3 linked regions of the Bombyx mori genome follow. The main gene of each other region encodes a partner of the protein of the gene in region 2 in a complex. Links are inferred from orthologs where the notes say so. Each region holds a gene or a part of one and is shown on either strand. Other genes may lie near its edges. The genes, in order: GPI transamidase component PIG-T, GPI transamidase component PIG-S and phosphatidylinositol glycan anchor biosynthesis class U protein.

Region 1 (3,901 bases), on a different chromosome or scaffold from region 2:
CGCGGAGACTGACGTCGTTGGTCGTCGACTATCGCCTCGACGACCCGTCGGTCGGGCGTCCTCGGGGTGGCGCCGCGTGTCTGGTTGTAGTGTTGACCGCGGGAACCCCTCTACTCTGAACGGGTTCTGACCCCGGACGGATTTCGGACGTCGGGTGTAAGAGTGCAGGGGAGTCGTTTAGTGGGTGGGACCTAAAACCCTTGGGCCCGCGATCTGCTCTCAACACCTGCAGATCGTTGAGTCTCACATACCCCGCGCGCCACCTAGGCGCGGGGACCTCGTAGGAGGTTCGGCCTTCTACCCGAAAGAAAAAAAAAGAAAAAAAAAAGGTGTCCATGCTTGTTATTGAGCTCCTCTGAGAGAGACTTATTTTTATTTCCTTTTTCTCACGATTTTCTTCACTCTAAGTTAATAATTAAAGTGTTCCTCCTATCAGGGCTTATTCCCTCTAGCTGAGATTCCAATTATAGGATTTTATTTATAGATATCTTATGTGAAACAGAATAAATTAATTATTAAAGCTTTTTTATTTTATTTATACAATTTATTTGGTATTGCAAATTTATGAAAATTTCACTCCTTTTTCTTTTTAAATAAATTAATAATCTTTTGTTTTAAAGTAACAGAAGAACCAACAACTTTGAGAACTAATTCTTTTGTACAAATATTATGCAGAGGTCCAAAAGCAAGGGCCACAACTGTACAAGCAAGACATATCACATTATATGGCATACTGAAGTCTGGTGTTGGTAATGATACCATCACACCATTAGTACGAAATACTGCAGGATACCCTGGAAAAAAAAAATGCAGTTAGACATTGCTGAATTGTATGAACTGATGCTGTAATGTACTTGTGGGAAAATACTAAATTGTACCAAAATCTAGGGAAGTTATATTATTGTTAGGAACACAAAACAAAAACTATTTACAATGTAGTTTAGGTCAAAATTGAATATCTATTTTTGCTTACATGGTTTTGATGCATTAATTGAAGATTCAAATAAGCTTGCAGTCCCTGGTAAACTAGTATAATTTCTTGCTGTTGGTAAATTAGCAGTTATTATTGCTGACCCAACATAAAAGCCATGATTAGCATCTGGTGGATACTCTTGCCATTTTAAGAATACGAATTCAAAATCAATAGTTATCTTAGTTGCTGACTTAGGTGGTAGCCTCAGCAGTAACTCCAAGTGATAAGGTTTTTGTCTGCTACGCCCAGGTGAATAATGCCTAGCTAACACCATCTCACTTGACGCTTCCCCGTTGATTCTTAAAGAGCTTAATTGAATAGGCAACCACCAAGGCGCATTCTGCAATACAACAACATCAATGGAGGACCAAAAAGTATTGGTCAGTTCAGTCACAATACCTCCAAATTCCTTTCCATAACCTAATACATAACGATTGAAATAAAGTGGGGGCAGTTTCATAAGAACCAAATCTTTCTTACTGATATATTTGGCTCCAATAGTAGTCATTTTGTTTTCAGGTTTAATTGTGTACAGAGCAAGTTTTGTTTCACTGCCTCCTCGCTGTGACAGTAGAACCTTTTCTGGCTCTGGAGATAGAAGGAATGGCTGGGTATCATTGGTGGTGATATCTACATACACTTTGCTACTTGATGCAAGAGGGCATCCACCAGGCAACCCTTGGCCAAATAATTTAGTAAAAGACCAATCAGTGGTTCGAATAATCTTAGAATCATAAACCAAAGCTACCGTTTGCTTTATCTCTAGGCTCACTACTGAACAATCACTAGATGAACACACTTTTCTTGTATGAACTCCAATAGAATGATAATTGGTATTGTGTATCATTCTTGAGTTTAACAATGCTGAAAGCCCTCTACTAGATTCACAAGGAAGAAGTTTCTTCCATGGTGTTAAGTTTTCTGTGCATACAATTTCTCTAGGCAGAGAAGCATAGCGTAACTGTGATGTTATATTAGGATTTTGTGGTATAGCACCGGTCGGTTGTAATGCCATTTGAGGTGTTATAGTGTTGAAATCTTCAATAAAATTTAAAGATGCACAGAACAGTCCTGCAAGGGTGGAACTTAATTTTTTCCATTGTGTATCAACATTTTCCACATCTGAGGAAAACCAAGCGTATAGTTCTGCTCCAGGAGCTGCATCAAGCACAGGATAACCCCAATGATTATGCCTCCACTGCCCCTCGGTTAGTGTGAAATGCAGTTCATCAACTTGGAATCGTGTCAACACTTCCACCAAAGACCTAGGTGCTAAATAGGTGTGCTCGGCTGGAAAACATTTTTGTAAAATAAATATCCAAAACTATGTTTATAAAAAAGCCGTCATACAAAAACATAGTTGCTAAATAGTGAGCACTGCACTTACATGACAGGTTATCATTTACTAAGGTAGTAAATTGAAAATATGTGTAAAGGTGTGCCGGTGGTAGAGGTTTAATAAATAGCTCTTCATTAAATAAATCACCATTAGCGTTAAAAATTGTCTCAATGAATACGGCAATAAAAAACAGAAAGTTTTTCGAGTTAAACATCCTGTTTAAATTTGTCTTTTAATTTGATTATACCTAACACATACATATATTGCAATTTAATTCAAAGAGCATAATTAAATTCTTATTTCTTTGCAAATCGGCTTTTAATTTTTAACTTTATCTATCTAGCTCCATAGATAATAGCAATCTAGCTTCATAGATATATATTTTTTTGGTCCAATTTTTCGTTATTAGGAAAGGCAAGGGGATCTAAGCCCATACAGTCTTGTCTGTTCTATATAATTTCTGAAATAAACTCCATAGATAATAATATTATAGGTCTACCCATGGAGTTAATAAGTACCTACAAGTAAGTACCTACCTTAGAGTAGTAACTCTATGGGTCTACCAGGATCTGATGGCGAAAAGAGAAAAAAGAAATTGACGCTAGCAATACTGGGGAAATTGGAGTAAAGCGGACTTTTTGGCGGGAACGCGAGGAATGAAGTTGTGTGATTTGTTTTATTTTGTCTATTTGGTGTTTCTTCAGGTTTAAATGTGTAATGATGGTGGTTTATTAACTGTTTAATATTTGTGAAAGTGCACAAATGTGGGAAAATGAAACAAAGTCGCTGGACGTCACTTCTCGGGATTCTCCAAAAAGTCCAACGAAAAAGTCTCAGTAAATGACCACAATTTTACTGAGATTATATTTCATCCCATATCATCTCATCTCATTATATTATTACACTACAAAAAATGGAAGATTTTGCAACGATTAAAAAACTAGTATTGCGCGTCGAAAGATTTTCCTGGTTTTTTCCCCATTCACCTCTCGATCCCTAATCACCCCATTTTACGGTATCTACTGAAAATGTCACTCATTTAATTGTTTACACTGAAGTAGGAAACCTAAGGTCTATGATTGTTTATTACGATCATTCATTGACAGTTCGGGCATAGATTATACACTTAATATATTTGAGATAGATGCGCAACTCTCATTTTTATTTTTGCTTTAGTTAGAGCCCGGGACAGCAGGCGTCGCTGCTGTCGATTATTAGTCTCCCTACCCCCCACCAGGTGGCTTTTTTAGTAATTTTAATATTTTTTATAATTAACTCTCTTTATGAAAAAATCTTATCGTTTAGAATCGCTGAAATTCCCGGTAGTACTTATGAAATATTAAAGAACGTTTGATTGTGTTCAGCATTCTAATCGATAAGACCTTTTCATACAGAGAGAAAACAGTTTTTTTAAATAAAAAGCTGTAATTCTCTGTAAGCTATTTAATTTCCCTATATTACAAACAATTTACTGTTAAAAGATAGTATGAACGTACAATTGTATAAAATTTCGAATAACAATAACTCCTCTAGATTAATCCTACTAGAGTACTTAATCGAAAGTTATCTAAAAGTTAATTAAGTCTAGA
Region 2 (4,085 bases):
GTAGTGAGACAGATTAGTAAGGTATTGAGCAGACTGTGCGAATTATTTTTTACTTATGTAGAATAATGTCGTGGATTTTTTTATCGTAATTAATGATTTTTGTGGTTTATTTGAATAATCGCCTATCAATACCAACAACGGGAGCCGTAGCCAAGTTTCTCCCTAACATGAAACAGTCTCTTGAGGGCTATGAATATGATTTAAGGTATAAATTCACTTTTAACATACAGAAAATAATTCTTCCCTTTCGATTACCAAAAAATGATTTAAAGATCTTGTGATTTAAAGATGTATTTTTAAGTATTTTATACATGTAATGAACTACACGCATCAATGTGTCACAATGTATTTTTGTGAAATTTCATACTGGTGCTTTTGAGAGCCTAAATGAATAAATACCTATTGTCTGTCTAAATAAATTCTATTGAAAATAGTCTATTGTCTGCTGCGAATCAATAATAAATTTCAATTTCTAGTGTTGGACTACTATACAGTTGAAACTTAGACCTCACATTTATCAAAGAGTGCATTCCAGCAGTGATTGATTTCCATACTTAGATAATTACTTAACACAAGGTGAGCCGTAAGCTCGTTCAGTCATCTCAGCAAAAAATGTGTTAAACATTAGTTATGAGTTAAAAATAATTCAATTACGACAAAAAATATTTTGTCGCACTTTAATTCACACGTTTTTTTTTCTTATTGCTCCCTGATGCACGTATTCTGAACATTGAAGATACATAACCAAAAGACTTTTTGGCGAGAACACGAGAACTGAAGTTGTGTCATTTGTTTTATTTTTTCTATTTAATGTTTCTTCAGGTTTCAATGTGTAATAACGGTGGTTTATTAACTGTGAAAGTGCGCAAATGTGGGAAAATAAAACAAAGCCGCTGGATGTAACTTCTCGGGATCCTCCAAAAAGTCCACTGAAAAAATCTCAGTAAATGGCCACCATATTACTGAGATTATATTGCATACCATATCATCTCAACTCATTTTATTTCATTTCACTTCATTTCATGGCAAGTTTCATATTAATCAACTTCATTTCATTTCACTTCATAATATTATCATTAAGAATTTAATTAAAATAAGACTTGACCTAAAGGTCTTAGATACCAGGTTATAAAATCCCTATATAAAATAACAATCAAAAGATAATGCAAATGACCTTATTTCAGAAATTATATAGAACAGACAAGGCTGTATGGGCTTAGATCCTTTTGCCTTTCCTAATAAGGAAAAATTGTACAAAAAAAAAACGATGACCAACATAACAAAAATAAATGTCAGTTTCATAAATTTGTTTACTAAAACAGCTGATAAACAGTAAATGTGGTATTTTTTCGATTTATAACATACACTTTGAATTCATTTTGAAGGAAAAATAGTGAACAGTGATTGTAATACACCTCGTAATAGTTAGCAATCAATAAACACGGCCAGTGTTGAAAATGGGAAGTGAAAATAATATAAGCAATGCTGATGGTAAGTCATATTTGTAGTTTAAACCCAGTAATTTTACATAATACAAATGATCTTATACACATATATGTATTCTGGGACAAAATAAAGACAATTTTGGCCAGGATAATAAGCATAAAATGTTTTTAAATTATAGGTTATAAATTTGTAAATGCTTTAGGTAAGCAATCTAACAAATATTTAGATTTGATGTAAATAGCTACAATTATATATTTCATTGTAATAACAGATATCATATATTGACCTCGTCACACAGATCAATTTGTTAAGGTTAAAAATCAGAATTTATGTGTGTGCAATAAATACCGTTTAATATCAACAAGATTTTTGTCTTTAAAGAAAATGATACACTCATTATTTGGTTAACTGGCTTCTTCTACTTTGTCTCCACCTTATCCCACTAGGTGGGGTCGGCACAGCGATTTTTTCTGTTCCATTTTCTTCTATCAGCCGTCATCTCAACACTCACTCCTCTCTCTCTCTCATATCGGGCTGCCCAGGACCTATCATTGTGGTGACCCTTGTGCGAGGCCTATCTAGTGGATGTCTATGAGCTCATGATGATGAATGATCTTTTATAACTTTATTCTCATATTTCCTTTTCTTCCTTCTGTTTTGGGCTTTTATTATACTTTTTATATTTATGTATTTTAGTAATTATTTTATGTTTTTTAACTTAATTGAGACTAGTCTCAATCTCAAGGTGGGAGGCGAAAAGATATAGTGACCTCAAAAATAACATGCCCAGTTTCGAATCGAACAACTGCACGCAGGTCAAAAAAGATTGAAATATGTAATTAATGTGTTCAGAAATGACTGCCAAGAAGAAAAAATACATTGTATATTAAAATCAAACCAGCAAGTAATATTTTTCATGATTATAGTAGTAGGGTCTCGTGTGAGCCTTTGAGGCTTTGAGCTCATGACACAGCGTGTGGCGGTATTCTGTTGTCATGTCTCTTAAGCTCCAGTAACTAATCAAAAGCAATTTAGGCTATGAGCTCAGTCATCGAACTAGGCAATAAAAAATAAGTTAAAATCATGATTGACTAAATTATTTGCAGTAATCATGGTTGACTAAATTATTTACTGTACATTTTACTATTGCATCAGCATAGCTAAAACATTTTTCATTACATTTTATGGTGCTTAAATTATCAACATTTTATCTAATGTACCTAAATCAAATATTTTGCCAATGTAGCTAATATTACTCTCAAAAACATGAAAATACTATGAGACGCAAATAGAGAAACAAATAGGTACCTGATACTCAGATTTGTGATTTTCAGGGCTAGCGGTGGTGGTTCTTATTTTCCAAAACAGTTATAGATTTAGAGCTTACATGATTGTGACGCCTTCTTTATGGAATCTAATTAATCCTCCTTGAAGGTGTATGATTTTCAAAAAGTTTACTGAACAACGTATTTTTGAATTTAGAACTCACGAACGACCCATTTGCATTCCCGCTTCTTTACGCGCACGGCACGACACGAGAACCCTCTCATCGTGGCCGCCGGTAACTACATTCCCGATCCTGCGGACAGAATGGAAGGCAGTCGACGTCGCCCAAAACACGTCATGTCGGATCCTCCCGATGCACTAACGGTGCTTTTAGGTACTTCAAGCACCGGTCACCGTTCTCGTCGAACCCGTCGCTTGCGACGAAGGGCTCGACGAGCAAATTAACTCTCAGACACAGCCCACTGAGTTTCTCGCCGGATCTTCTCAGTGGGTCGCGTTTCCGATCCGGTGGTAGATTCTGCGAAGCACAGCTCTTGTTAGGGTTCGTGTTAGCAACGTCATCAGGTTTGAGCCCCGCGAGCTCACCTACAAACGTTAGGGTTACGCGGAAATAGCCTCTCAAGGCTCTCAGCTTAGGTAGGAAAAAAAAAATATATATATACGCGCAACATACAAAATATTATAGCATACAACATATAAAAGCTAAATTCAACCCGTTTTTTACCATCGTTATCGCATATGTACTTACTAATTTTCTTTAAAATTGTACAGTGCTCGCTTCCCGTTTGCTGCTGAGAAACCCGTTTCTTGTCGACCGGTGTGCTTAGTGCAAGTTTTTTAACGTTCTCGATAGCGTAAAAGTTAACTCAAATTTGTATGCAGTTGGAACAGCGTCCCTAGCGGCAAACGTAGGCAAGCGTTCCAACTTTTACGTTATCGATAACGCAAAAAAACTGGCATTTAGAACACAGAATAGGGTATTTATTTCTCAATTCATTTTACGAAAAAAGAATTCGGTTTCTTTAAATGGTATTTACAGTAAGAGCTAAAACATTTCATGATCCATTCGGGATGCTCAAGGCGATGAATTTGTTTAAATCTATTCGGAATCCTCTACATCAGCATTCCTTAATAATACTATAATTTACGTAATTGATGCCACGACTGTATGCCAATATATGTTTTGCTTTTATTTTCTCTTGCTCACAAATTGCTTTGGGATGTTTGAATATGGCGATAGATATGTTGCCAATTCTTATGTAAGTTGTTTTTTTTTGTAGATTATATGGCTGGCAACGGCAGTATGGCAAATGAAAGATATGTTACGCACATAACAGTGGTAGTTAATTTAA
Region 3 (4,014 bases), on a different chromosome or scaffold from region 2:
GCCAGTATGTTAAACCTTGGGATCATCTTACTGACAATATGACAGCTTAAGTCGAACAAACTGCCTAATTTCAAGATACACCTATTTTAAATAGTAAAAAGTTTTTAGAAATTTAATTATGAAATAACTGGTTGGTTAATATGAAAATAGGATATGAAAATGCATTTTGAGCCATAAAATATCCTTCAAGCAGGTTTCGATAACATACTGATCGGTTCGCGGTGCCAGATATACTTAAATCATTTTCAACCTAGTAATATATATTTTTAAATTGTCAATCAACTTTTGGACAATTTTGGTGTATGGGATGGCTCTGAAAAATAGCCTGGAAACTCGTGTATGGCCAGACGCAGCCCAGACGAGTCTATGGTTAGCCTGATTATATCGTCGCTTATTTTTGTAGTGTCAGGTTTTCAGCTGAAACTACCTAGTGTAGTATGCACTATAGCACACAGTAATTATTGTAATTATTAATAATTTTGAGAAAATAAATAATATATGATGAGAAATAGAGTTTTGTTTGTTATTTATAATACACATTAAGATCCACCTACAAGCAGCTTACAAAATTACATACAGAGAAAATACCAAATGTCTTATTATATTATATCTGACCTAACCGACCTGGCAACACACAGCTGCCATCGCCATAAGATATTGAGTATAGTTTTGATTTGTACTTCGGTGGAAATTTTGTTTATCCCGAACCCCAGGGCGTAACATAATATACATGTTACAACTAAAATCTTAACGTCGGGGCTTTAATTCTATACTTAGAACGCTACAATTTTTTCGGGTTCGCCATTTCTACAATCAAGATGCTAAGGTGACAAATAGCAAGGGAAGGTCTTCCACCGATCATGTGCTAAAGAAAACGAGCGCGAGCATTGTTCATCAGAGCTTATTAGACAAGAATGTGACTTCCTTTTTATAAAGATTTTATGGCCTGATGGCGGTGATACAATAATCTACATGGTGGGGTCCACTAATATAATATAGTGCATGTTATTATCTAATATATATTTATCCATTAAATATCTAAGGATTACGTTTTTACAAGACCATCTTACATATTCCCTGGTGCAATAAATAAATTTTCACTTTTGTTTTATGGTTGTCTTTCGTCCGTGGTTGAAAATAGACTCGAACAATATATAAACTCTTTGCTATTTCTGTTCAAAAAAAAGACAGTGACAATGACAATGACAGTTAGGCTTGTTTCCTTTCCAATGTCGAACGAAAAGTCAGAAAAGATAGTAATTGGGATGAAAACGAATTAAAACGATTGAAGTAGTATATATAACGAAGTCAATATTATGTACCACATACGTCCTTTACATTGCAAATATTAATAAGTAATTAATCAAAAAATGGGTGCGGTTGTAAAATATGTAATAGCCGGCTTAGTTAGGTATTGGCTTATTCATACAGACTTTTGGCATACACTATCCAATAGGGTAGAAATAGCGACTCCCTTAAATTCATGGAAGAGGTTAATTGAAGGTGTTTATTTATACGACCAAAACATTAATCCGTACGAAGGAGATGCTTTCCACGAATCACCGATAGTGTTAGTGATTTTCCATTATCTTTTAAAACATGTCCCGTATAGCCTACCATTTATATTCAGTGCAATGGACCTCCTCACTGCGTATCTTCTCTACAAAACCTCGAGAGGTTTTGTCAGAATCTTCCTTAACTGTCAAGAGAAATATTTATCAGATGTGTCTCAGGAATCAAAGGATATGGTTATGACAGAAAGTCAGTTAAAAGAGACATCTGAATATGTTCTGTCTGTCTATTTATTTAATCCATACTCTATATTGAACTGTGTTGGGATGACAACAACAGTTTTGCAGAATATGTTGTTAGCTGCAGCACTTTGTGGTGCGGCTCATGGATATGTGATAATATCCTGTGCGTTCTTAGCCTTTGCTACTCATCAAGCATTATACCCTGTCTTACTGATAGTACCAACGGCTATGATATTGGCTGAAGTGAACAAGGGATGTAATAAATGTTCATATATTAAAACATTGTTGGCCTTTGTTTTGAGTTGGAGCTTTGTGGTTTATATATCTGCATTTATAATGGATGGTTCTTATAATTATGTTTACAATACATATGGTTTTATGTAAGTACTTTCTTCTAATATTAGTCAGTCATAATTTTATTTTAAACTAGATAATAGAATAAGAAACTAATTAACTTTGTATTTGTAACATAATGGTATGGTAATGGTAAGACATCCAATGTACTTGTATCAAATGTTAGAACTATGTTAAGATTCAATGTTGTCATGAATACAATTACCATTTAAATATGTAACTAAAATGTCATCAATACAAAATTTTGACTGTTCACACAACAAAATGAAATAGAAATAATAGCCTGTAAGAAACTTTAAAGTACATTATTAATATTAATAGTTCTGTGTGTGAATTTTCACCAGTAGACAGAACCATCTTTGGCTATGTACTGTAAAGCTTTTACCCAGCAGTCCCTTAAGACTTACTGTTAAACTATACAATTGAGTCTCATTATCAATGTGATTTCTACAATTTCTATTAATCAGTAAATACATAGTGCAGCAATAAAATAAAAGAAGAGTAGTTGATTTTGAATTTCTTTGAAAGTGTCAATCGAATTATATAAACATATGTATACTCATAATTTCATATTTAACATGTTTCCAGATTGACTGTTCCAGACCTAAAACCAAATATTGGACTTTTTTGGTACTTTTTCACGGAAATGTTTGAGCACTTTAGATTACTGTTTGTATGTGCTTTCCAAATAAACGCCCTGATACTGTACATAGTACCATTGACTTTGCGATTTAAGAAGGAACCAATATTATTGGTGACTGTGCTATTAGCACTGTCAACTGTATTCAGATCTTACCCTTGTGTGGGTGATGTTGGCTTCTATATGGCATTCATACCAATGTGGAAACACCTTTTTACATGTAAGTGCTATTATATAAGATAATAAAATGAAGAAAAATATTTTAAAATTTATGATGCACTCTTCATTTCCATATAATTCTTATCGCTAATTCTTATAGTTTAAAAAATAAATTTTTTATTTAAATTATTCTTTATTGCCCTTCATTCAGCTATTAATAAAAAAGATAAAGCATAAGAGCTATTTATAGAAAAATATGAATTTTTATAATTTCTGAGTTTACTCATAATCTTTATATATATTTTTCAGTTATGCAACAAAAATTTATTGTTGCCTGTGCATTCATCATTACTTCAGCTTTGGGACCGACAGTATGGCATTTGTGGATATATTCTGGATCAGCTAATGCCAACTTTTTCTTTGGTGTCACCTTATCTTTTGCAACAGCACAAATATTCCTTATAACTGACTTATTGTTTGCGTATATTAAAAGAGAATATACTCTTAAGAATGGATCTTCGAGGACCATTGATGGAAAACCTGCCAAATTAGTTCTGCGATAATGACAACTGTAAACTGAAATGACAGAAATATGCATAAAACTTGTACAATGACTTCTTATGTGTAGCTTTAGCATTCAGAAAAAAAAAACTGTTATGCAGATGTCTGAATGTTACATTTGTGCAGTAATATATTACATATTGAAGACCAAAAAATTTTTTCATTCTTAAGTAACATCTCCATATCACCATTTCGTTGAATAGAGTATGTTGATCAGTTGAGACAGTATACATTCATTCAATTCTGCATTTAAATTAGTAATTTTAGGGTATTATAATATAAGACAAGAAGCAAAGACTTGTATAACTAATGACTGTAACTAAATTAATGATAAAATGCATACAATCTTTTAAGTACAGCTAAAATATTTTCTATATCTGACTGTCACTTAGTACTATTCAATATTCATAATTAATATGTATAGTTACTTTATTAGTCGAAGAAAGAAATATTTTTTAGCTCATGTGTTCATTTCGTTACAACTTGTTTTTTAGACATATTTGATATTGCTTTAAAGTTATTAATATTGTATTTGACTGTTATATC

The links.
Region 1: the proteins of GPI transamidase component PIG-S (region 2) and GPI transamidase component PIG-T are in contact, whole or in part, in a cryo-EM structure (PDB 8IMY), measured with the Homo sapiens proteins. The link is inferred for Bombyx mori from reciprocal best matches to the Homo sapiens genes PIGS and PIGT. Residues at the interface, in NP_149975.1 of Homo sapiens: Thr9, Glu12, Val13, Gly16, Ala19, Ala20, Phe23, Thr230, Pro238, Lys239, Tyr244, Ile247, Glu248, Val251, Gln256, Val270, Asp271, Ser272, Gln273, Ile274, Tyr276, Tyr277, Met279, Ser309, Arg310, Ser313, Ser314, Ala315, Ala316, Phe513; in NP_057021.2 of Homo sapiens: Pro26, Arg27, Val63, Ser64, His65, Tyr66, Arg67, Lys71, Gln75, Lys79, Tyr80, Val133, Gly136, Lys191, Leu193, Pro194, Cys195, Ser196, Lys198, Ala199, Glu270, Pro271, Pro273, Leu274, Tyr526, Ile529, Cys530, Cys533, Val536, Ala537.
Region 3: the proteins of GPI transamidase component PIG-S (region 2) and phosphatidylinositol glycan anchor biosynthesis class U protein are in contact, whole or in part, in a cryo-EM structure (PDB 8IMX), measured with the Homo sapiens proteins. The link is inferred for Bombyx mori from reciprocal best matches to the Homo sapiens genes PIGS and PIGU. Residues at the interface, in NP_149975.1 of Homo sapiens: Ala4, Gly5, Ala8, Thr9, Glu12, Arg15, Arg18, Ala19, Phe22, Phe23, Val26, Leu30, Leu34, Trp35, Thr38, Thr39, Leu510, Leu511, Phe513, Ile521, Tyr522, Leu525, Phe526; in NP_536724.1 of Homo sapiens: Gln118, Phe282, Glu283, His284, Phe285, Leu287, Phe288, Phe289, Cys291, Val292, Phe293, Ile295, Phe299, Tyr300, Ile302, Pro303, Ile306, Lys307, Lys309, Glu310, Thr417, His418.

What each region holds. Positions count from the first base shown.
Region 1 is NC_085111.1:7,583,288-7,587,188, reverse strand, and holds GPI transamidase component PIG-T, read right to left. Parts: upstream 2,759-3,901; 5' UTR 2,527-2,758; coding exon 2,361-2,526; intron 2,264-2,360; coding exon 974-2,263; intron 795-973; coding exon 574-794; 3' UTR 509-573; downstream 1-508. UniProt on the Homo sapiens protein: Component of the glycosylphosphatidylinositol-anchor (GPI-anchor) transamidase (GPI-T) complex that catalyzes the formation of the linkage between a proprotein and a GPI-anchor and participates in GPI anchored protein biosynthesis.
Region 2 is NC_085122.1:2,213,899-2,217,983, reverse strand, and holds the start of GPI transamidase component PIG-S, read left to right. Parts: upstream 1-1,277; 5' UTR 1,278-1,457; coding exon 1,458-1,491; intron 1,492-4,085. UniProt on the Homo sapiens protein: Component of the glycosylphosphatidylinositol-anchor (GPI-anchor) transamidase (GPI-T) complex that catalyzes the formation of the linkage between a proprotein and a GPI-anchor and participates in GPI anchored protein biosynthesis.
Region 3 is NC_085111.1:9,170,806-9,174,819, reverse strand, and holds the start of phosphatidylinositol glycan anchor biosynthesis class U protein, read left to right. Parts: upstream 1-1,209; 5' UTR 1,210-1,370; coding exon 1,371-2,134; intron 2,135-2,696; coding exon 2,697-2,968; intron 2,969-3,216; coding exon 3,217-3,470; 3' UTR 3,471-4,014. UniProt on the Homo sapiens protein: Component of the glycosylphosphatidylinositol-anchor (GPI-anchor) transamidase (GPI-T) complex that catalyzes the formation of the linkage between a proprotein and a GPI-anchor and participates in GPI anchored protein biosynthesis.